Oreochromis niloticus: one gene and its partners. The protein of the gene in region 2 purifies or fractionates together with the protein of the main gene of each other region. This does not show direct contact. Links are inferred from orthologs where the notes say so. Each region holds a gene or a part of one and is shown on either strand. Other genes may lie near its edges. The genes, in order: 7SK snRNA methylphosphate capping enzyme, cdk9 and immt.

Region 1 (8,500 bases), on a different chromosome or scaffold from region 2:
GCAACGCTGGTTTTGATAAGTGCTATGCAAATAAATTTTTACAACCAATTGCCGTATGGATTCATCATAATACCTTTTAATATTTAGCCACAGCTCAACTAATGTGACAGAAAAAGAAAAGGAGCCACTGACATGATTAAATGTAAAGGTCAGTTTTTTTGAGATATAATACTATATAACTGTTTTATAGTGGGGAAGAAAAAAAAAGGTCACAGTGAGAGGAAGTGTGTGCACAATTTGCATCAAGTTCTCTTGAGAGGCTGGTCAGTCCTCATAATGCACTCACATTTTTGTGCATTTTTACACATTTTATTCAGTTACCCTAACATTAATTTATAAAGCAGGACACACACAATGTCTAAATTTTTCTGAATTTGCCATCTAGGTTCAAAATATGCAGCAACACAGAAATCTGAGCCATATTCCCGAAAGGAAAAAAATAAATAAAAAAATCCTCTCTTACCTTGACGAAGGACACATTTGAAGGAAACTCCCCAGGCTGCACCGTGGATGTTTGTGTTAGCGGGGGTGCAGCAATGGGACCCCTGGAGATCCGTAGGGATACAGGAAAAGAGCAGCTCTCAGAGTGATCAGCGGGGGGTGAATCACAGTCTTCTTGCTCCATTTCCTCTGTTTTGCTGCCCTGCCTCTGGGTCTCCATCTCATCCGTGTGACACGACTCATTGTCATTTCCAGTATCTGCAGGGCCACTTTCTCCTTTCACAGGTTTCCCATTTTCGTCCCTGCTCTCGGCTTCATTGTGCTCTTTTTCTGTGCCCGTGTGACTCGCGTTTCCATTTGTCTCCTCCTGTTTACTAGTCTTTTTGCCCTGCATTGCTCGCCTGGCCTCTTGGGTCTGCAGCTCAGACAGATAATGTCTTATGTTTTTACGAGCTGCATGTATCAGACCACTGTCAATGTCTAGGCCCAATATGCGGGCGGGTCTTAGCATTTTGGCGATATAGAGTGTTACATGGCCTGAGTTGCACCCTAAATCCAGTACTTCTTTACCTCTAAACCACTCGGGACGAAGCAGACGTAAACGAGGGTCTTCACTGCAGCCCGGGTTGCGGTATCCATAATACTTGTTGTAATTCCCATACTGGAACTTCTTCTGCTGTTCCTTTGTATGAGAGTGGGGCTGCTGGTGCTGGCGTATTCCAGGGCCTATTTTGGAACCAGATTTTGGTGTGTGAAAGGAATTTCTTGCTCCCCCTGCACCAAAATGCCTGTCTCCAGGTCCCGACTTGCCAATTGGAGTAGAATGGGTGACAGGGGGCTCCATTTTGCCCGAGTTGCGCCTTCGCTTGCGTCTACTTGTGTGCTGGTACGGTGCCCCTAAAGTGGAATCCTCCACGGATGCAGGCGGCATCTCCTCCTTGCAGCTTGCTGAGCTGCAATCTGTGTGCTCGTGGGACTCTGCCATGACACTAGAAACACTACCGGATTCGTTGTTGGATTCTAGTGCAGAACATGAGGCTAAGGTACCTTGAAGAGGTACAGAAGGACCTATTTTAACTTCACTTTTTCCTGATTCTGAGAGGTTCATTTGTGTGGCTGAAATCCCAATACTGCCACCACTCCCACCTCCACCCCCATGGTGCCTGTTGCGGTGTCTCTTCCTTCCTCCACTCTTGAAGGGAGAAGCCAAAAAGCTGCTGTCAGCTATCCCACTGTTCAGGTTCAGTGGGTCTGTGATGTCCCTGGGGATGAGTATCTCCACAGGGTCTCGACTTTTTGCTGGCAGCGGAGAGGATTTGGGAGTCTCTGCATTCAGCGCCTTGTTGACCTCCTCATCCAGCAGGCTGTTGAGATTCAGCGGGTCAAAAATGTTCCCACCCAAGAGGAAGTTGGTGGGCAGGACAGAATCGCTCTCAGAGTTGGCCCTTCGTCGCCGTTTGCCAGATGAAGGATGCTTGAAACTAGAATTTGCTGTGTAGCGCCGCTTTGTTAGCTTCGTTTGTTGTTGCTGTTGTTGTTGTTGTTGTTGTTTGGAATGATGAAAGCTATTTCTGCGATTGATGCTATTCTCGTTCCCTCTGGCTCTCTGTCCAGCATTGTCTGCGAGGGTGAGCGCATCAGTTGTGCTGGTGTGTTTTGGCGAGGCAGCAGTGCCCAGAAGAGGGCAAGCAGCTGCAAAGTCAGGGGTAGCTGCAGTTTCCTCCATCATCACAGACACACCACCGTAACCTCCAGGACAATCCGTGAGCTGCAGAGATGACGTCGAGCTAGGCTGTGGACTGCCCATTTTTGCTGTATCCTCATCAACAGACATCTCTTTTGATTTTCAGAGCTGATGAAGACATAGAAGGGTTTTTTGTTGTTGTTGTTGTTTTTGTTTTTTTTGGGGGGTGGGGGGCAATTTTCTGAGCCTGAAAAACAAAAGAAACAAAGAAGTTACAGGAAGGAAAACTGATGCCATAAACTTAACATTCTTTTAGATATGGTGAACAAAATTGCTTTAAACCTGGTGCCTCCTCATTGTTGTGATTACACACATACACACACACACACACACATACACACACACACACACACACACATACACACACACACACATCTGTTAAGTAAAGTAACATAAGTTGGCTAATATTACTACAAAAATATGCTCAAGGCATCCTGGGATGTCCAGGCACTTGCACATCCAAGGGCCACTGTATCTGTATTTATACCTATGAGGTGGGAGTTAAAAAATAACCCTTTACATTCCACTGTGATTTCCTAATAACAATACAGAAAATTCATCTTTTTAGATACAGTGAATCTCTTGGCTCACACCCTTATCACATCTGTATTGTGGTATCTGAAGCGTGTCTACACAGGGGTTGCTGACCTGAAAAGTTTAGGAGTCCCCGTCTGGCACTGTTACCCAGTTAGCAAGCTAGCTCTTAGCTTCTCTATCGCGGGCCAAGAAGATTGAAACGTCGAGTAAACGTTACGCTCTACTCCGGCCAGAAAGCGCTACCAGACAAGCACCAAAGTACCCACCTCGATATGCTGCTGCCCGAACCCCACTAAAATCGTGAGTCACACTCACGAAAGTGATACCATTTCCCAGATGGCCACGCGTAGTCAACAGGGTAGCAACCACCATCAAAATATAACAGTCTCACCTCGCAGCTCGCGGCTCTCCCCGCCTCCGGCCGGACTGTCACTACCCCGCACTCTCTCCGCTTGAGCTAACGTTAGCGCAGCTAGCACACAAGTGTCCCTACAGCGACACAACAGTGCTAAGCTACGCAAACAAGCGAGCAGGCACGGCTCGGGTATCCTGCACTGGCCTGTAGGCAGCAAAGGCTCCGGTGGCCACGAAACTGTCTTGTCGACTTCTTCAGTCAACTCCTAGTGGGCCAGTGTGAGGCAGGTTGGTGAATAAATTATTCCATTCGCTGACAGAGGCGGCATGGCGGCGCATCCGGGCTCCGAGCTGTAGCCCAAGATGACTGGGGCGGAGATCTCTGACTGGTGGCTGCGAGGCGGTGAGGAGAACTCCCCTCTACGATATTATAATGAGCCTCCTACTGCAGGTAACATTAGAGCCGATGATAGTTTTGTTATTGATTGATTAGCAGCTTAAATTTAATTCATTTATTAGACAATATATGAAAGGGAACAACTTAACAAAACAGGAGGGCTGAGGGACACTCTAAAGTGAACATAGAGCTTTCCCGCCTTGGTTAACTACCCTGACTATCAATTCAGCTAGTTGAGATTAGTTTCTTTGTTGCTACTCGATTATTCGACTAATTTGTTTAGTCCTAAAGTCAGACTTTAATCCATACACCCTTACAGCCCTAGTAGACTAATAGTAGAGTAGGCCTTATTAGTAACCTGAGTATTGCATAGCCTGCACATTAGGTTTTTATAAAGTTTACTGATAAGCAGCAACCTCACAGTTTCCTTTTGTATGTTCTTTCCCAACTGATGTGCATGCACTTTTGCAAATGCACGTTTCTAATTATGCATGTCAGAGGTATCAAACATGAGGACTGGGGGCGAGAATCAACCGGCAAAAGCAGCCCACTGAATGGCTTTGGAAAATGTGAAGGAGGACGTAAACTATTTATATTCAACAGAATTTTAACAACTTCTACAGCGTTCCCCCGTGCCTTGGCCATTTATACTACAACAAAGTAAATAATACACAAACAATTAAAAAACATAAAGTTCCAGTTTTTCACTATCTACTGTAGAAATGTATGATTTTTACAGTGGGTTAATCGTATAAATAAAAGACATTCAAGACATTGACAAAATGTTTTTGTTTCAACATTTTAGAACAGTCTTTGCAATTTTTCTCTAATTTTACACATTTATTTTTTATGCCCTTTTTCCCCTAGTATTAAAATATTTCAAACATTAAATATGTAGTGGCCAAACAATCCCTGTAGTTATAATCCCTAAAAATCACAGCTACTGCCTTTTCCTCACACACACACACACACACACACACACACACACACACACACACACACGTCCTCTTTTTAGTACAGAGTTTTGTAACATGAAGGTATATAGTGTGATGAGAGCTCACACTACACATCTTCAGGCATAATCACACCCTTTGTAGCTACATGCATACCTTCATAGGGTGTGAACTTATTTTTGCTTTTAGTTTTGAAACTGGATGCCTCTGTCCCACTGCAGCCTTTGCTTAACTGTCTGCATGATGTCAAAGACTGATTAACACAGAATTTCCTCACACTAAATGAAAATAAGACTGAAGTTATGGTTTTTGGAACTCATGCCCTTTGAACAAGTTAACTGATACCCTCGGTCCTCTTGCTTCTCATCTTTCTCACACCATAAGGAATCTCAGAGTGTTTTTAGACAGCTCCTTTAAATTAGAGAAGCAAGTGTCCACAGTTCTGAAAACAAGTTTTTATCAGTTACGTGAAATTGGCAAAGCTAAGCCTTATCTTCCTCCAAGAGACCTAGAAACACTTATTCATGCCTTCATCACCTCTAGACTGGACTACTGCAATTCTCTCTATTTGGGTCTTCAATACTCATCTCTCCATCGCTTGCAGTTAGTCCAAAATGCTGCTGAGCGTCTTTTAACAGGTGTTAGAATGTATGAACATATCACTCCAGTTTTACCAAATTTACACCGGCTCCCTGTAAAGTATCGTATTGATTTTAAGATTCTTTTATTTACTTTTAAAGTTTTAAATAATATGGCGCCCAGTTATATAAAGAAATCCCTCAACATGTATGACCCCAAAAGAGTGCTGAGATCATCTAACTAGATGCTCTTAGCACAACCGAGGTCTCTATTGAAGCATAGAGGAGATTGGGCCTTCGCAGCAGCAGCACCCAGACTCTGGAATAATCTACCAGAGGATATTCGTACTTCAGAGTCTATTCAGTCTTTTAAATCACGTCTTAAAACTTTTTTACTTTGGCTTTTAATTCGAGTTCAGTTTGAGTACCATCAGGCCTGTTTTATGTTTTTAATGTTAATTCGTTTTCTTCTCATTTATCTGTATTTGTTTCTAATTTATCTATATTTGTTTCCCTATTGCTTTCTCTTGTTCTTAACTGATTGTGAAGGACTTTGGTTAACTCTGTTGTTTTTAAATGTGCTATACAAATAAATTTTGAATTGAGTTGAATTTTGGTACCATAGCTTTGATTCAAACTTCAAAGTTAATTTAGATGACAGACTTTACAAGAAAGCCCTGTAAAGTGTGTCATAATTTCTATCTTGACCAGTGTTTACAGCAGGGTTTTCAAACTCATTTTACATGTGAGGTCAAATACAGCGCATGTCAGTAAAAATGCCCTTTCTGTCAGTTGGAATAAGTTTAGATGCACATTTTATTCCTGCCATATTTCAGTATAAGAAAAAATAAAGTGCAATTTTAACAGCACATCTCAGTTGTACTGCATGGTAGAGAAATGCCACTCTGTTTAATTAAAGAAATTTGTCAACATGAATCTTTTGGGCTTAAATTGTAAAACATAAATGTGTAAAATTACAGAAGAAGTTCTGGCAGCTCATTGTGCAGACTGTCCTGTAATTATAATGGAGAAAGTTTTTCTTAACTCACAAAAAAATGGAAAACAGAAATTTCTATTGTGGGTTGTGTGGGAAAAAAAGAAGCAAATTTTTTTGTAATTTAATTGTTTATCTATTACGTTGGTGTACTATTAAAGACATAATCAGTCAGAAAAGCTTTACAATTTTTGAAAGTAGACTTAAAACTCTACAATGTATGAGGGGTGGCTGTGGCTCAGGTGGTAGAGCAGATCAGCTACTGATTGGAAGGTTGGTGGTTCGATTCCTGGCTCCTCCAGTCTGCATGCCAAATATCCTTGGGCAAGATACTAACCCCAAATTGCCTTCAGATGCGTTCATCGGAGTGTAAATGTGTGTGAATTATGTGCTTATTAGTTGCACTTGAGTTTAGAAGTGCTTGTATGAGTGGGTGTCATTGGGTGAATGAGGCATGTTGTCTAGAGCGCTTTGAGTACTCCGGGAGAGTAGAAAAGCACTATATAAGAATCAGTCCATTTACCATCTCCTTCACATTTTTCAAAGATGTCTGATTCTGGGCCTTTTGTTTAACACCCCTGGTCTAAACTGAGCCTTTTATAAACCTCTGCATCAGCTAGAAATTGTGTGCAGTGTACAGGCAGCTTCTTTTCACTTCCATCACCTTTGAATTATAATTATCAAAATTTTAAGACACGGAAAACTTTGATTTTGGTGGTGACAAAGAAAACATTTACTGAAAATGATAGATTTTCAGTGAAATGATAGATTTTCAGTAAATGTATAGCTTTGTCCGTCATTGAAACAGAAACCCTAAATGCATAAAAAAATAGGTGTGAACTGAACTAAGCCTCACTGTGTTATGGCCGCGATGTTGAGCTGATTTTACATCATGTCCACAGTAAAGTTACATAAAGTGAGCTTGACCTAAATCATAAATGTTTGAAGTTATAGAAAAGGTTCTGGTAGTTCATTATTCAGGCTGTCCTGTTATTATAAATTAAAATATGAAGTTTATACTAACTCAAAGAAAACGTCCGTGTACTTTGATTTTGGTGGATGGATCAAGTAAAAGTTGTAAAAGGTATGAAACTACAATTAAAAGTTCAAAAAGCACTCCTTGACATTTTATAAACTGAGTGGGCTGGGTTGGAGTCCTCTTTGTTATCATTTTTAAGCAGGGGCAAGAGATACTGGGATTTCTTTTATCTTGATTTTAAAACCTTTTGGAAGATAACATACTCACTTAAAATAACAGTTAACAGTCCAACCCTAAAGTGAATCTCTGGACATGTCATGTTTTATACCCTGTATTTTTTTAGCTAGTTTTTTTTTTCAGTTTGGTTTTCTATAATACAAATTAAATGGAGGTAGCACGGTGGTCCGGGGTCTTTCTGTGTGGAGTTTGCGTGTTCTCCCCGTGTTTGTGTGGGTTCCCTCCGGGTACTCAGACTTCCTCCCACCGTCCAAAGACATGCAGTTTGTGGGGATAGGTTAATTGATTAATCCAAATTTCCTATAGGTGTGAATGCGGGAGTGAATGTGAGTGTGAATGGTTGTCTGTCTCTGTGTGTTGGCCCTGCGACAGACTGGCGACCTGTCCAGGGTGTACCCCGCCTCTCGCCCTATGACAGCTGGGATAGGCTCCAGTGCCCCCCGCGACCCTGAAAAGGATAAGCGGAAGCGAATGGATGGATGGATGGATGGATGGACAAATTAAATGTAAAGTAAGCTATGGTACAATGAAGCCAAGACAAGTTGTGAAACATGTTTACTGAGCAGGCCAAGTCAAATTAAACTCCTTTTCCTTTCCCCAGCGATACAGACTGATATATAATATTAAAAGCAGTATTATTGTGCTTATTAATGTGCAATATATATTTGTGTAAGCTCATTATTTAGAGCAGTTTATTTACAAAATTAGTTATAAAGTTTCTCTAGGTGCAATAATATAACCCACCCAGTCCATCTTAAAAAAAATTTTTTAACAGCACTTACTTCTGTCTCCTTGGCAGCCTGTTTCTGCCACTGAAAAAAAAAAGTATTTAATGACAGCAAATTTCATGTTAAATTCCTTATTTTCTATATTTCCCCAGATGTTTCAGGTAGTATGTTGAAATTTTGAGATAATATATTTTACTTATGGATTGCAGTTTATTTGTTTTATTTTTATTTTTTTCAGAGGTGGAAACCAGGATCCATAGTCTCCCAGTCTTTTGTATTTTGTATCTTAGAATAAAAGATAAAGAGATGCTGTGCTGAGGGTGGTGCTATAGCATTAGGGATTTACTGAAGCTGCGTCCTCTAATTATCCAGAAGGGGGAGACAAAACATGATTTTGATACTATGCTGAGAGTACACTGTGGACTGCAGATATTCAGGATTTCTTTTATATAAGTTCTTCTTCTGGCTTAACTTGTTGCAGTTACTGTTGTTGCTCTGCAGCAACTTTGAACCTAAAATGTTACATTTTAGCTTTTAGCAGATACAGGAAGGCACTGC
Region 2 (7,500 bases):
TACGGGTCTTTGACGTAAGCTTTGAGGCGGTCCTTCACTTTCCTCTTCTGACCTTTGGGCAGCTCCATCTTCTGGTACAGCTCATACTTCTTGTCTACACCGGGCCACACCTGATGGGACAACAGAGGGTTAGTTAAGTTAACACAGAGCTGAGAAACAGAACAAACAGAGTGCGAGAGAAAGAATGAAGGCTCACCTCTGCCGTGATGGAGCCGCAGAGCTGGCTGATGAGGGTCAGCTGGTGCTGCTCCGTGTTCCCCTGCATGATCGGACTCCGTGTCCACATCTCGGCCATGATGCAGCCAGCCCCCCACAGGTCGATTGGAGGCCCGTAGTCTCGCTCACCTGCAAAAACAAAGATAACACAGAAATTAAAAAACTGCACCAGGAGTAGATTTGAAATATATTTTACTTTTTTTTTTTCCTTACCCAACAGCAGCTCTGGAGGTCGGTACCACAGCGTCACCACGCGGTTAGTGTAGCGGTTCCCCTGGCTGTTCTTGGCCAGGCTGAAGGCTCGAGCCAAACCAAAGTCAGCCAGCTTCAGGACGCCGTCTCTGGTTATGAGCACATTAGCTGCCTTCATGTCTCTGTGAAGGATCTGAGCAAAGAACAACAGATCATCATTAATATTCTGACAGTGGAATTTCATTTGGTTTAAGTACACACTGTGTCTCTGAGAGTCTAACCTTGTTCCTGTGGATGTAGTACAGCCCATTGAGCAGCATCTGCATCACCTTCTTGATCTCTGCCAGCGTGAACTTCACGTTGGCATTGCTCAGCAGCCCAGCCAGGTCATGCTCACAGAAGTCAAACACCAAGTAGATGCTGCCTTTGTACCTGTTAAACTGAGTGGCTGAAAAGGAGAACAGAAAATTAAAAACAGACCCCAAAAAACTGAAATCCACACAAAACATGCACTCGTGTCACACTAACCTTTGGTCCTGCAGATCTCGATCAGATTGACAACGTTCTCGTGCTTGAGCAGTTGAAGGATTTTGATCTCTCTCAGAGCTGTGATTGGGAACTAAAGGGGAGGAAAACCAGCTACATTATCATCCACACCAACTTTCAGCACACTGGATTTTAAATGATGCCAAGACTCTGGTTTCTTACCCCTTCTTTCTCGTTTTCCATCAGCACTTTCTTCAGTGCAACTTTCTTCCCTGTCTGTCGGTGCTTCGCTTTGAACACCTCCCTGTACAAGAGACAATTTTAGACAGTCGGCTTTTTAAACTACTCAACTCAAATGGTATATAGCCTAACCTATAGTAGGGTAGAGAAACAACACTGCTGGCATTTGTGTGGTAGACATGATCTCAGTCCACTTCAGACAAGAACTGCTTCATCCACAACATCATGTAAGTGGTGCAGTGCCGCCAGGAGTACTCAGACCTTTACAGACTAAACACTAGGGGTGGGTTTTGATTATCGATTTCCCAATTAAAATCGATTCTAGCTTGAATAACACAATATTGATTCATTAAAATCCTGAATCAATTTAAAAAAAATTTAAATGTATTTTACCCGAAACGCCAGAATCTCAGGTTAAACCTCACAGAATTTCGACAGCCACCAAACAGCTAAAAACCTAAGTGCGAACCCACCGACGCATCAGAATCAGTGAGATGTCCGCTTTCTCACCCGATGGCAAGTACACTGACACCCCGTCTGGGCTGAAAGCCGACAGCTCAAAGACTCTGATGCATCGGCGGGTCTGGATCCAAACTACGCTTCACATAAACATCGTCACGAATTCCCTCTTACTTTTGCTGTTTTGCTTCCACCACGACAAAAATGGCACTTCATGCACAGCTCTCTTCATCTCTTCTCTTCCCATCTAAAAATCTCGGTTTTCTGCATTATTCGCTTGCTTATTACGCACAAGTCTACCGTTATGTACAGCGCTGTTGGCCGCTGTTTTTTGTTTGTGTGGGGGTTTTTTTCTTCAACCGACTTCCAACAAGAAAGCCTCATTTCTGCTGTTCAATACTGAAGAAATTTAAACTTTTTAAAATTATGCAAAATTGCTAAATGTTTAGCTGTGTCTCTAATTGAACCTCTGTAACTTTGCTCGGCTTCACTTCAGCCGCATCAGGTAATGTTGATATGTTGATTCACGGTTTTCTTCTGTTTTTGTTCTACTGCAGAATATCTTTAAGGTGGTTATCTGCTATAAAAAGACAGGCGGGGAAAATCTTCATGTTTTTCTGTGTTTTATGCTCTGTTACTTTGACACAAAGGAATCTGCTGTGATGCTTACACCTCTGATAAAGTCTCACAAGTGTCAGCTTTTGGAATCGAACTGTGGATCGAATCGAATCCGGACCTTGTGAATCGGAATCGAATCAATTCTAGAAATCGGTGACGATACCCAGCCCTAGAATAAACACCCACAGAAGCATGGCACAGCATCGGAGAATCAGCTCATCAGGACAGAAGTCAAGCTGCCTCCCTTCCATCTCAGGGGAGAAGAGTTGTCCCTCATTGAGAATAGAACGCAAAGTCTTTTTTGGTGCTCTATGGATAGAGCCTGGTTTGTCTTCAGCATGTGGCTCATTTAGCCAGTCACAAATTATTCCCGTGCCATATCTTTGTGCCCTGTTGTTTCAGTTGATCGCAGCAGAAGACCATAACCCATGAAAGCTTTGCAACTTTACAAACTAAATACGTTTTAAAAAATATGTCGAAACAACAGGTATCAGCTAATGCCTTCCTTAATAAGCAGCTGGACTAATACAGGAAGGGAACTTCCGTTGTTTACTTGCTCTTCATTCACTCCGTGCGGCTAGCAGTTAGCACAGCTGGCGTTTATACGGAATTCGCAAAGCAGTTAAAGATTTAGTCAGACAACCAGCCTGCTGTGTACTACTCACCCAAAGGTTCCTTGTCCGATCTTGGCCATTTTCTCGTACTTGGAGAACTCGTCACAGAAAGGGAACTCCACTCCGTCGTAGTACTTCGACATGATGGCGGCCTCCCGATCGGGCCTGGACAAAAGGAAAATTCACGAGACTTTAAAGTGGTTACATCAAACAAGGCTTGCACAGAACGCGCCTCAAATGCAGGTGAAACAAACTAAAGCAAACCCGTTTGTTAAATTGAAAAGTAAATAGATTTAGTCTTACTTTTCAGCCCCGGTGGCGTTGCTTGTCTTGTCCCGCTGCATCTTGTCCAACTCCGCGACGCAGTTACGTGTGGAGCGTCTGCGCACGGCGTCACCTCTAGAGCTCAGCGACGCCCCGCCCACTGATCCGGGGGCGGGCTTTAGTTATTCTTTTTTTATTTTTAAATTTATTGTACCCAAAATCAAATACAAATGGGCAAAAAGCTAAAATAATCCCAAAAGAAGCGACAATAAATCAAAACAAATGAAAAATACTTAAGGCGTCTGGGAATGGATCTCAAAACTGGATTATAGATGGCAGACAGTTGGTGTCGTAAACCACCGCCTCTGTTCAAAGATGGTCGTTCACAGTGGACATAGATGGCTTCTTTCACTCCTCTTTCAAACCATCTGTCTTCTCTGTCCAAAATGTGAACATTGGCATCCTCGAAAGAGTGACCTTTGTCCTTTAGATGCAGATGGAGCTGAGTTTGTCCCATCGAGGTGGCTCTTCTCTGTTGTGCCATGCGTTTATGCGTGGCTGTTTGGTCTCTCCAATGTAGGGGTTTGAGCATTCCTCACTACACTAGCCTATACTACATTGTTAAATTTGTGTTTAGGAGTTTTGTTTTTGGGATTAACCAGTTTTTTTCTGAGTGTGTGTTGAACTTTATGTTTTTAACCACTAATCAAAACCAACGAACGAATCCTTCACTGTTCACATCAACTCTGTGGATAAAAACACCACAGTTCACCAGGGAAGACACAAAGGACAACAGTTTGCCATTTCTAGACTGTGCTGTGCACATTGAGGAGAATGAAAACTTCAACATGTTTGTTCTAAAACATTTGTTTTACAACATTTATAACATTTGTTTTACAACAAAAATGGAAGCCACCTTCTTCCCCTTCTCCCAGCACCAATCATCAGATTTGAAAAACTAAATAATTAGTTTTTTAGTTTTCACTGTCAGATCAGTCTTTTAGGTAAGATCCTTAGTATATTTCTGTCTTACCTCCCAGGGAAAACAGCAAAACAAGCAAATATTTTCATATATTGTAGTCCCAAACTCCTGAATTTTATTACAAAATGATGGCATATGTACAAAAGACTCAGGATTTTTACAGTAGTATCATACATAATCTGTATGGTGTCCAATAAAAGCAATGCACAATCTTAAAGTGAAGAAATTATCCCTCGCATCACTGGAAAGTATTTGAATGTTTCTAAATATCCTTCCCCACTCTTTTATTATCCCATTTCAAACTTAAATGACGGTCCCAGGTCTTCTTGAGAGCTAAAAGCTTCATTACCCAGTTTCTGAATCACCAGAGAAAATACACAAAGTATTTTATCAAACCGACTGTGCACAGGTGATAATGGAGGAAAATGAGGCTGTTAAATACCGTACTGAAGTAGAGCTGGAGGTTAAGTGCATAATAATAAACAGGATTTTAGGTTCTCCCGACCCCACCCATCATCAGCCAGCCTCTGCAGTATGTAAACAAGATTATTTCGTAATCCCATCAAACCTAAATAAGAAAGGGGGATCCTGAGGAGTGATGTAATGACTGGTACTAATTTTTAAGATGTTAACAATCTCAACTACTGATGAGTTTAGTGCTGCCCAGCAAAGAGAAAATGTGTGTAGTAATGGATCAAAGTTTGTGCTTCTAACCAGATCTAAAACAAATGCTTTACCCCAAAATGATCTAAAGTTTTTTTTAAAAGCTTTTATGACCTGAAAGTTACTTCTAGCAGACAAAACAGAGACAAATTATCCAAAGGATCCCCCTGAAAACCTGTTTTTGACCTTCCAATTCCTTTTTTAAAGAAAGGCAGTGAATTACTGTTCACCAGGGTTTAGCCCTGAATTTAAGGGTAAAATCTTAGAAAACCGACATAACTGTAAACGTTTGATCAAAACTATGAGTCAAGATACAGTACAAATTTGGGTCTCCTTGCTTACTAGTTTACCACCACATGGGGGCGCTCTCCGCACCAAACCGGACTGATTGATAAATTAATAAACGTGAAAATACAAACCAAGACATTCTGACGACCGCAAAGCAGCAAAAATGCTCATGTAAATTAATAAATAATGATTATGTGTCATAATGAAAACATATATCAAACTAATTTAAGGAAAAAAATACTGATACTGATCTAATCTCAGGTCGTTCTGAAAATTTCCACAGCTAAAAATGAAAGCATGCCATTTATAATCTGTAGATACAACCGTGCCAAAAACAAACAAACAAACAAACAAACAAACAAATGAAAACATTTATCAAAATTAATAGTGTTATAATGATTTATTATAAGCATATTATTGCGTATAATATATAATAATAATATAATATATTATATACTAAATAACTCCAACCAAGATTCTCAGCGGATCATCTTCCTCCATCTCACCCTGTACCTACCTACTATCCTTCACCACATCCATGGCCCTCATCTGTAGTCTTCCTCTTTTCCTCCTGCCTGGGAGTTCCATCTTCATCATCCTTTGTCCAATATAGTCACTCTCCCTCCTGTGCACATTTCCAACCCATCTCATCCTTGCCTCTATAACTTTGTTTCTAAACAACTCAATCTAAGCTGTCCCTCTGATGTACTCATTTCTAATCCTGTCCATTCTGCTCACTTCCGTTAAAATTATATATTTTATTTGCTCATTATTATTATTACTTACGGTTTTGTTCTTTTCACATTCATATTTTCCAAAACCGTAGAGTAGGTCGGATTGGAGACTGTCAGCCGATTATGCCCCCCCTGGCCTTATCGAACACGCTTACTTTATATTTTCTTTTTAAGAAAAGCTTATTTATTGTTTATTATTGTTCGTGTTTTTTATTTGTTTGCGTTTTCACGTTTTTTTTTATAAATAAGTAAAAATGACGGGGGCGTGTTCTGACGTCATTACGCTTGAAAAACGAGCCTTCCATATTTGGTGTCCCCTTCCTGGAACAGCTTCACGCTTCATGATGCTGTGCATGTCGCGCATGCTGCGGCGGGGCTCGGGCATCGCCGCGCGGCTCGCACGGCGGGACCGGGCGCTCAGTTTGGCGGGTCTTTCGTGCCGGCACTACAGCACCGAGACGGCTCCTCACATCCCGGGAATGGAGTATCAGGTACGCTCCGTGACCGCCGCCGCTCGTGCTCCAGCGGCTAACGAGCTAGCTAACTGAGCAGCGAGGCTGTTTCCGAAAGTTTGGAGGTAGTTTTTGGGCTGTTTGGAGTTTAATGGAAACATGGCTGACAGGAGCGCGCTTTGGCAGCAGGGGGAGGAGGGCAGTTAGCTGCAGGCTGCCCGGAATCTGCTGTTACACGTTAGCTTGGACAGCTATTAACAGGTCGCGATGAGACTATCAGTGTCAGTGGCTAAAAGTCTGCGCTGGCACGTGCTGTGGTATTTCTGTGTAGCCATGTTATTTCTGTTAGTTTGACTCGTGCCAGGCTCACCTGACCTTTTCCTGGATGAACTCAGGTGTTTTTGCTGTTTCCTGTAATGTTAATGTGAGTTTTCCGCAGTTTCAGAGCTGGGACTGTCAGAGCTGTCCGTAGTCTGACCTCCACTCTATGCAAAATTGAGGAGATAAGACCCTTTTTATCTCCTCTTGCTGCTGCTTTCACGAGCATTTGGAACATGAAATTTTACACTTGGCGTCCATCATGGATTTCCTTCGGCCAGATATTAAAGAGACTCAATGAATGAGTTTATTGTCACTGCAGCAAAATTATCTTTCAGGATTTTCTGAGTCTGTTTCAACTGTAGACTGTATGTGAAAGATGGAAGTAGCTGTCCATTGACCTCTTGGTGTTGTTATGAAACCCGGCAGGCTCAGGGTGGATCAGACTGCCTGCTCTTTGGTTTATGATTGACGAGGCGCATATCCTGCTTTAGGCTCCACTGTGACTGTAATAATGACCATAATTCATAAAATAAACGCCACATTTTCTTATGTAAGACTTTAAACTCCTGATTGGCCCAGTGAACTGATCAGGAATGTGTTCACTGCAGTCACAAATCAATTAATGCTGGTTTATAGAGAACCAGAGGAGTCGGAACCTGGTGGCGATTAAACAAGGTTTAAGCCACTTCTTTATTGGTCTCAATATGTAGATTATTTTTAGACACAATCTGTCATAATTCTACAGAAATAACTGCTAAAAAAAATCATTTTTTATTAAACAAATAAACTTAAGTATACTTTTTGTAGTTGCCCTCTGCAGATTTAAATAATTTGGACACTTCAGATGTTTCCAGATGTGTGCTGCTATGAAGTAAAACCCTATATAAAATTTTTACAAAAAAATTTAACAGAATATGAAGAAATGACTGCTATGACTTCATATCCTTTTTTTTTTTTGCATGAATGAGTGT
Region 3 (7,456 bases), on a different chromosome or scaffold from region 2:
TTTAGTAGATATACAAGTGTCTATAATGAATAACTAAATAATCCAATACTAGTGTTAGAATCCTTGAATTGCAGCTGTGCTGCATTCATCTTGGTTGAGTTCAAACCCACTGTGGTGGTGTACGCAGGCACAACGTTTGTGTACAAATACAACAGCCTCTTACTGTCACTGCACAGATACAGTGAAACTGTGGGTGCTCCACCCGACTACTGTGAAAGAAATCTAACAAAACAGAAATAGAAATAAAGCTGAAAAAGCACACGATAAAAGGCAGATGGTAACATGAAGCCACGAGTTATAATGACAGTGGGTGCCACACTTACCCTCTATGCTCTGTGCAGGCTTACTGGGGACGGGGCTGGAGTCTTTGACTGGACCCTCGGCTCCCTCCTTCTTCGCCGACTTCTTCACTTGTTTTTCTATCATAGAGGGCGGCTGGGCCAACTCCACCTTAACAGCAACCATTTAAATCAAAGCATACATTATTACAGTGTGGTTGTAGAAATATTTTTACTCTTTCTATACAAATATTTATATTGTATTGTATGGAAGTTTATTTGCTGATATCTTCAATTCTGAGTCAAATTTTAACAGACACACACTGGAAAGGTGGAGGTATGGAGGTGGAGGTATGGAGGTGGAGGTATGGGGGCTTCAACGCAGTCTGATCAGCCATTTTAACATACAGTAAACCATCAGAGAACAGATAGTTGCTCACAAATGGAGAGTCGGTAAAAGAAAAAAATGTTAGATTGTTCTTCCACTACCTGATGGTGAAATACAAACAAACTTTGTGTCCTGTAACTATAATTAGGATGAGCTGGGGACAGCACCGTACCCGTTTCTTTATGGGGAGGCCAGGATCTTGGGCAGGGGGTCCCAAAGCCAAACCCAGCAGCCAGTCTGAGTATGGGACGTTCTTCTCAACCGCTGCTCTGAACTTGTGGTCCCATTTGGCATAGAGTATGGTCCCTCCAATGCCACCACTTACTGTCAACAAGCCAGCAACAACCACTTTGGAAGCACTACTGGAATGAAAAAGGACAAGCAGACATGAATGAATGCCACAGGACAGTCTCGCTAACGGCCTTTGAGACGGGACGCAGCATTCTGTGTGTATCCTAGTTCAGCTGACTTTATGACACAACTTTAGGCCCAAATAGTGACCTCAGGAGGAAAACAATGTTGTAGAAATGACACACTGCTACGGATACCGCTAAAGATCTTCTCTTGAGGATGAGAGATCCACGTTTTGAAATGACGTGGAGCCAGAGCGCAGGGACCAGCGGGACACAGATTTGGTGGTCAGCACAGCACATGTCACATCTATGTGAGAAGCCCTTAAGAAGACAGTTGAATACTGTACTGTGTGTGTTGGTGTGTTACCTGCTCTCTCCTGCTGTGTAGTGCCGACACTGCTGCAGACTGGTAAGAGGGATTCTCCTGTAGTTCTTCTGGAAAGTGGTGAGGAAAGCGTGACAGTGAAAAGAAATCCATGTCAGACAGATCCAGAACGGACACACATTTATAGCAAGGACACCTTAGAGCAACAAATTCCAGTGCAAGCAACAAACTACCCAATGTTTTCCTTATCATTCCTTATTATCCTTGGATAAAAGGGTTGGGGAATTAGGTGCAGAGATGCGGTTCAAAAGGTAAAAACAGACTTTGTGCAACTCTAACAAGCCTGAAAATCAGTACTTTGTCTGAACACCTTTACTCTTCAAAACAGCCTGAACACTCTGAGCCATGTTTTCTTGTAATTACATTAAATAGTTTTCAGAAACAGAGGTTTCATCCTCTGTCAAGACGATGCCACACTGCTTGGATGGACACGGGTTAGTTTCAGAACAGCTTCATCAATTACATTTTTCAGTGGGAAGGTGGCAGTCAAGAAACAGACAGGGGTGTGGACTGAAACAGCGCAGAGCGCAGTCCTAGGAACAGCTAAGATACTGCGCAGGACCATCAAGCTATCAGGCCTCTGGCAGAGGAGCCGAGCTTGAAGGATAGACGCCTGCGGTGAGGGGGGGGGGTGTCGAGACTTTTGCGCAGTACTATACTGACAGGTCGGTCGTCAACATGTCGATGACAACCAGGTAATCAGCATTTGATGATTTCAGTTTTAAATTTCATGATATTCTTGTGACACACGAGCTTGCCCATTTAACTATAGCATAAGAAAAAAATCCAGTAAGTAATAAGCTCAGCGCGGTTTTTCATTTGCTGTTAAATCATAAAAATACATAAATTATCGTGATGAAATCAAAACAAAAATAAGCACAGAACTGTTGACTTACCATTTAAAACAGATCAGCAAATGAAGTACAAAGCATGATTTCTGAGCAGTAAACTGAACTCTTATTTTGTAAATACAGATTCAGGTGCATGGCAAACAAATCCAAGGTGAGTCCGGCAGAAACGAATATGTTACTGTGCGTTTAGTCAGGTGAAAAGAGCCGAGGTTCCCTCGTAATAAAACATCTGTGCAACAGTGTGACGCTGCAGACCAGAGATGTCAAACTTATTCCAGTCCACTTTAACAGGTGACAGCCACCTTTCTGTCACTGTACAGAAGTCTAGCTGCACATTCAATCCCAGAAATAGAACAAAGTTTTCGAGAATCCACATCATGCGTTAGTATTTGGGGATTTTACGAAGACAACCTGCAGCGTTTATTTATTCATTATAAAGTCTACGTGAAAACGCGTTTTTAAATGCTAGTGCCGCTAGTAGCATTTTAAAATACTGCTCCGGTTAGCTGTTATCAAACCTGTGGCCGATAAAAGGTCAAACAGAATGAACAGACAAGTTTTGGTTTTTGCCATGATGACCTCTCCGCTCAAACTTAGCCAAACTCGTTAGCTTGGTTATGGTTAAAACGCCATTATCCATCTGTCACCGGAAGAAAACCGGCTAACATTAGCATGCTGCGCTGATCTCTTTGACAGCTTCCACAACCAACTGCATTGCTTCAAATACAGCGCTCGACAGCACCGAAGAGTTAACAGCCCGAATTAGTCTACGACAAAATTGACTGTGGCACCTTGAGGCAGGCTCTGGGTCACTGAATGACAACACGCTAACGTTAGCCCGCGGCTGGGGAGCAGACAGAAGGCTTACCCGGGCGGTAGCATTAGCCCCTCTCAGACACGCTCTCAGCATGGTCTTCTCCTACTTTGGTTTCTGAGTTCGTAAATAAATCGACCTGCACAGAAACAGATTATTTCTTTGCTGCTCTTCTTCGTCTTTTCGCGCACCCTTCTTCTCCTCAGTACTTTGCGTGGATTAAACGTTTGCGTGCACAACAGCGCCCCCTTATGATGTTGCTAAATTACATTCGCGTCATTCTTCCATCTGACGTAAGTCAGACAGATGATCCTTATTCTTCCCAGCTCTCCTAAACTAAGCTAAACAGATTCTCACCAGTGACGGGCAGTTCTGGTTATCTATACTCTCAAGCACACAACACTGGTTTATGTGTGAGTTCATACAGTATTCAACACATTTTCCATTAATTACTACATCAGCTGTGTGAAGTGTGTCAGAGAGAAACTCTGGTTTCAAAGTCACTGTTTAAATCTGTGGCATGCTGTCCAACGGTGGACCAAGTTTTCAGCAGTTTTTAGCCAAAAATCACAAAAAAAGAAGAAATATTGATTTTTCTTGTTTGTTTTATTTGTTTTTTTTATTTCAAGTTCTATTAAAGATACAGCAGTAAGAAACAATTACATTTGTATTAAAACAAAACAAAACAGAACAGAACAGAAAACAAAAAGCCACAGCCCAATATTTCTCAAGGATAACTCAAAACAACACACATCATTGTCTCCGATTTTCCCACGTCCTTTAAACTATTAAGACGACCCCTCCGAGTTCAGACAGTTTCTATGCATCTGGAATCTTCTCAGGTAGAATATGAGAGATGTAAGCTCACATTTGCACGAAACTAGATGCACACTCCAACAGGCCTCTCACTGGTACAGCAAGTGGGGGTTTTTACATACCAAATTCTGAAACATGCTTGATTAAAAATGTAAAATCTTGCCATAAAATACTCTGAACAGATAAACTACAACAAATGGCCCAAACTGTGGATGGAGAAACATATGGTGAAAACAAAACTCAATATTAAAGTATAATCAATGACTACCAGCCAAAGACACAGCAGAGTGATGCTGTGTCCACACAGACTCTTAGCTGACAGCTGGAGCAGTTTTTCTGAGTGGACTGTGTGAAGTCGATGTCGGGGGGAAGACTCAACCATTCAATAACAAGCTATGACATATTAGGCTCTGCTGTCCTTTGTACTTTGACCGGAGTACCGCAGTCTTCATCCTGAGCAACACAACACAAACAACATCATTTAATACAGTGTTTGTAAGGGTGGCTTTCTCATCTGTTGATTAAACTTTGCACAAAAAGTAAGGAGACCTGTGTTTCTTCCCATTGGACAGCCTGGTTGTTTCCCCTTAAATGGGCCACATTTGTAAAGAAAAAATCCATTCGTGGGTTAAACAGCAGAGTTGAGTAAAGAGAAAGCTGAGCAAACACGTTTCCTTTCTTTTTGTGCCAAGTTTATAAGCAATCCCACCATCATCATCTTTATTTTCTTAAAAACTGATGGATCATCTAAACAATGGACCAAATAAATATTTAAACCAAGGTTCCAGAAAGATTTAGTCAAAACCTCTTAAACAAACTCTACAATCGTTACTTGTCCGTCAGTCGTCAGCACGTGTGTGGGCCTCAACATTTCAGCAGCACCTAAATGACTTCCACTCACCTCCACTGACAGGCTGTGTATCGGCAGCGAGGTCTGGCTGTTCTGGGAGTCAGTAATGGTTGGGAAATCTAGTTCAATGTCCATTACATCATCAAGGTTGAGCTCCTCACTGGTGGGACAAGGAGAAATCATACATGAGGACGGCTTTCAGCTGACTGACGACGTGCAGAATGTGTACGAGTGTCTTACACGACATCGAGGGTCTTGTCCTGGCCTTCCTCTGCAGGGGGGTCCCAGGCATGTAGTTTGACCTTCCACAGTTTGATCTGCTGGTCCCAGGAGCGACGACTGTACTTCCTGAACTTATTGGGAGTTTTTGGATGAACGCCTGGCTGACGCATGTGTCTGAAAACAAGAAACGCGGGGATTAACGTTGACCAGTGTATTACACACACAAGCAGTGGACAGGCTTTACACTGGATGTTCCACAGCATGCGTTTCTGTTGACCTACTTAGGAACTTCTTTGATGTAGCGGTCGTAGGCCAGCGTGTTCTTGCCATAGTTGATCTGTTTCTGTCGTCGTAGTAACACAGCTTCATCGGTTTCCAAGTTATCTCCCTCTCTGGAGTCACAGCTGAAGCACAGACACATTTAGTCCACATTCACATGCACACAATACAAAAATAGAGGCACAACTAACATTCATCACGAAAAGAGCCCGACTTCCTTCATAATGATTTTATTCTAAAATGATTGTAAACACAAAGTTGTTGAAAAATGAAAAGGTTATTGTCATGTTAAACAAACCTGTGTTACTGTTTAATGGACAAAACTACATTAGTAATGAGTTCAAAGCCCATGACATGATATAATACAATGTAACTACGTAACAGTAACTATGTAACAGTAGTCTGGAGTGTGTTGAGATGTCAGTAAGACTAGAAAAGTTCTGACAAACCAAAACTGGATCAGTTCAGGATTTGGGGAAACAGCAGTTAAAGCCATATTTGACACGTCGTCGTGTTTCAGCCTCGCTGTCACAAGGACAGAAAACCCTCATCGTCTCATAGCAGATATGATATTTATCACATCATATTTTGATGCTGAGCACTTTACTTTTGTTACCATATAACTGAGCTCCATTAGTGCAATCTGTTTTACCTTACTCGCCACTTTGTTCAGTGATACTGCGTTGATTTTATTTCATGTTTCCATTATTTTGGGGATGAATACGTTTTGTCTCGTCTTATTTAATGTTAATAATTGCACACTTGTATAGCTGCAGGTGGATGTGTGGTTTGAGAAGTGAGTGTTCCATCAGTTCATGAATATTCTGAGTTGAAAGGTCTGTGAGAGAATGAGATACCTTCCAGAAGAGCCAGACGAGGCCCTTCTCTCCCTCTGGGTGAATTCTGCCCCCAGTATCCTCCTCCTGTAACTGAACACAGTGCAAACAGTGAGTCTGCAATCCAAAACAGGAAGCCAGTCTCTGCTTTCAGGTGCTTAAAAAGACAACTGAAATAATGTAGAAACTGTTTAATTACCGCTGCATGTCTCTGTGCACATCCCTCCTCATCTCATCGTCCTCCACCTGGCTGCCCCAGTCAGCCTGTTGACCACAGCGGGACACTGGACCTGTGCTCTCTGGAGTAGTAAAGCTAGGAGGACAATACCACAGGTTACACACACACAGGGATGTTACTGCTACAGTTCCTGCAGATGTTGTGGCCACATGTTGGTAATGGAGTCAGTAAGCTGTTTTTTTAAAGTGGTTCATGAGCAGAGACTGGCTGGCTTCACTCAGCAATAATGTAGTTTGATTTTTTTAAAACACTACCATTCAAACTAAAATCATTCTAATAATTTACCAAATATTACTTTACAACCACTGTGTTATTTATTTTAATTTAAAACAAACAAACAAACTTGTTTTTCTTCTCGAGCCTACACTGGAGTTTGGATGTGAACTACACAGACCAATGAAATTCTCACGCTGTTTACATTTGACAAAGCACCTTTGAACAGGGCCATTAAAGCTGTGTGGGTCTGAAACACTAAAACTGAAACATTTCCCCAACAAATGCCAAAAATCCACAAAGCTTCAGCCGCCTCATGGCTTTTCAGTTATGAGTTCCCTGCATTAATATACATTTATCACTTTCCACATTAACTGAGCTTACTCTCACCTAGCATGTCTGCGATCAGGGTGTTTGTAGCTGGAGTCGGCGTGTCCGTTCCTTCTTTTATCAATATCATCTGCCTCGCTGTTGCTCCGCAGGCTCCCATTGACGCCCCTCTTCCTGCAGTGGGACCACCGAGATGGGCCAAAGCTACACAAGAAGACACAAAAAAAACGTGTAGATTTAAACATGCCAATTCATTCTTGTTTTGATATCAGATTTCTGCAAACAATTCTCAAAAACATTCTCTTCTGTGTCAAATTAGGGAAAAAAAATCATGGCTGTTAAAAATGCAAAACCAGCAAATATGTGCAAGAACTGCAAACACACGGTGGGACGCACGGTCCCACACAGGAAAACACTCATGACGGTTTCACGTCTCCGTATTCCACAATGGCAAAGCTGCACTAACTGCTTCAAAATGCTCCGGGGATTTCTTTTGAACCTTCTTAGACAGATTAAAGTTTAGAGAAGGTGAATTTTATTTAATAATAAATGATTAGTTGAGTACAGTGGGTAAAACTGGAGCCATACATTTCCTTTAATAGA

Evidence for each region.
Region 1: the proteins of cdk9 (region 2) and 7SK snRNA methylphosphate capping enzyme purify together in Homo sapiens (affinity purification with mass spectrometry; 10 studies listed by BioGRID and IntAct, counting the BioPlex papers as one, with this or other methods). This does not show direct contact. The link is inferred for Oreochromis niloticus from reciprocal best matches to the Homo sapiens genes CDK9 and MEPCE.
Region 3: the proteins of cdk9 (region 2) and immt purify together in Homo sapiens (affinity purification with mass spectrometry; 3 studies listed by BioGRID, with this or other methods). This does not show direct contact. The link is inferred for Oreochromis niloticus from reciprocal best matches to the Homo sapiens genes CDK9 and IMMT.

The regions. Positions count from the first base shown.
Region 1 is NC_031975.2:12,332,222-12,340,721, reverse strand, and holds the start of 7SK snRNA methylphosphate capping enzyme, read right to left. Parts: upstream 3,253-8,500; 5' UTR 3,114-3,252; exon of another isoform or gene 2,989-3,113; intron 2,968-2,988; exon of another isoform or gene 2,834-2,967; intron 2,373-2,833; 5' UTR 2,276-2,372; coding exon 464-2,275; intron 1-463. UniProt on the Homo sapiens protein: S-adenosyl-L-methionine-dependent methyltransferase that adds a methylphosphate cap at the 5'-end of 7SK snRNA (7SK RNA), leading to stabilize it.
Region 2 is NC_031972.2:34,704,876-34,712,375, forward strand, and holds the start of cdk9 (cyclin-dependent kinase 9), read right to left. Parts: upstream 3,284-7,500; 5' UTR 3,170-3,283; coding exon 3,129-3,169; intron 2,991-3,128; coding exon 2,877-2,990; intron 1,199-2,876; coding exon 1,117-1,198; intron 1,028-1,116; coding exon 937-1,027; intron 857-936; coding exon 690-856; intron 602-689; coding exon 430-601; intron 346-429; coding exon 197-345; intron 111-196; coding exon 1-110. Other genes in the region: fpgs (folylpolyglutamate synthase, mitochondrial), read left to right, coding at 6,011-6,247. UniProt on the Homo sapiens protein: Protein kinase involved in the regulation of transcription.
Region 3 is NC_031966.2:2,141,104-2,148,559, forward strand, and holds the start of immt (MICOS complex subunit MIC60), read right to left. Parts: upstream 3,300-7,456; 5' UTR 3,166-3,299; coding exon 3,124-3,165; intron 1,455-3,123; coding exon 1,387-1,454; intron 1,029-1,386; coding exon 839-1,028; intron 451-838; coding exon 324-450; intron 1-323. Other genes in the region: slbp (histone RNA hairpin-binding protein), read right to left, coding at 4,279-4,338, 4,787-4,895, 4,976-5,131, 5,239-5,361, 6,094-6,165, 6,272-6,385, 6,914-7,057. UniProt on the Homo sapiens protein: Component of the MICOS complex, a large protein complex of the mitochondrial inner membrane that plays crucial roles in the maintenance of crista junctions, inner membrane architecture, and formation of contact sites to the outer membrane.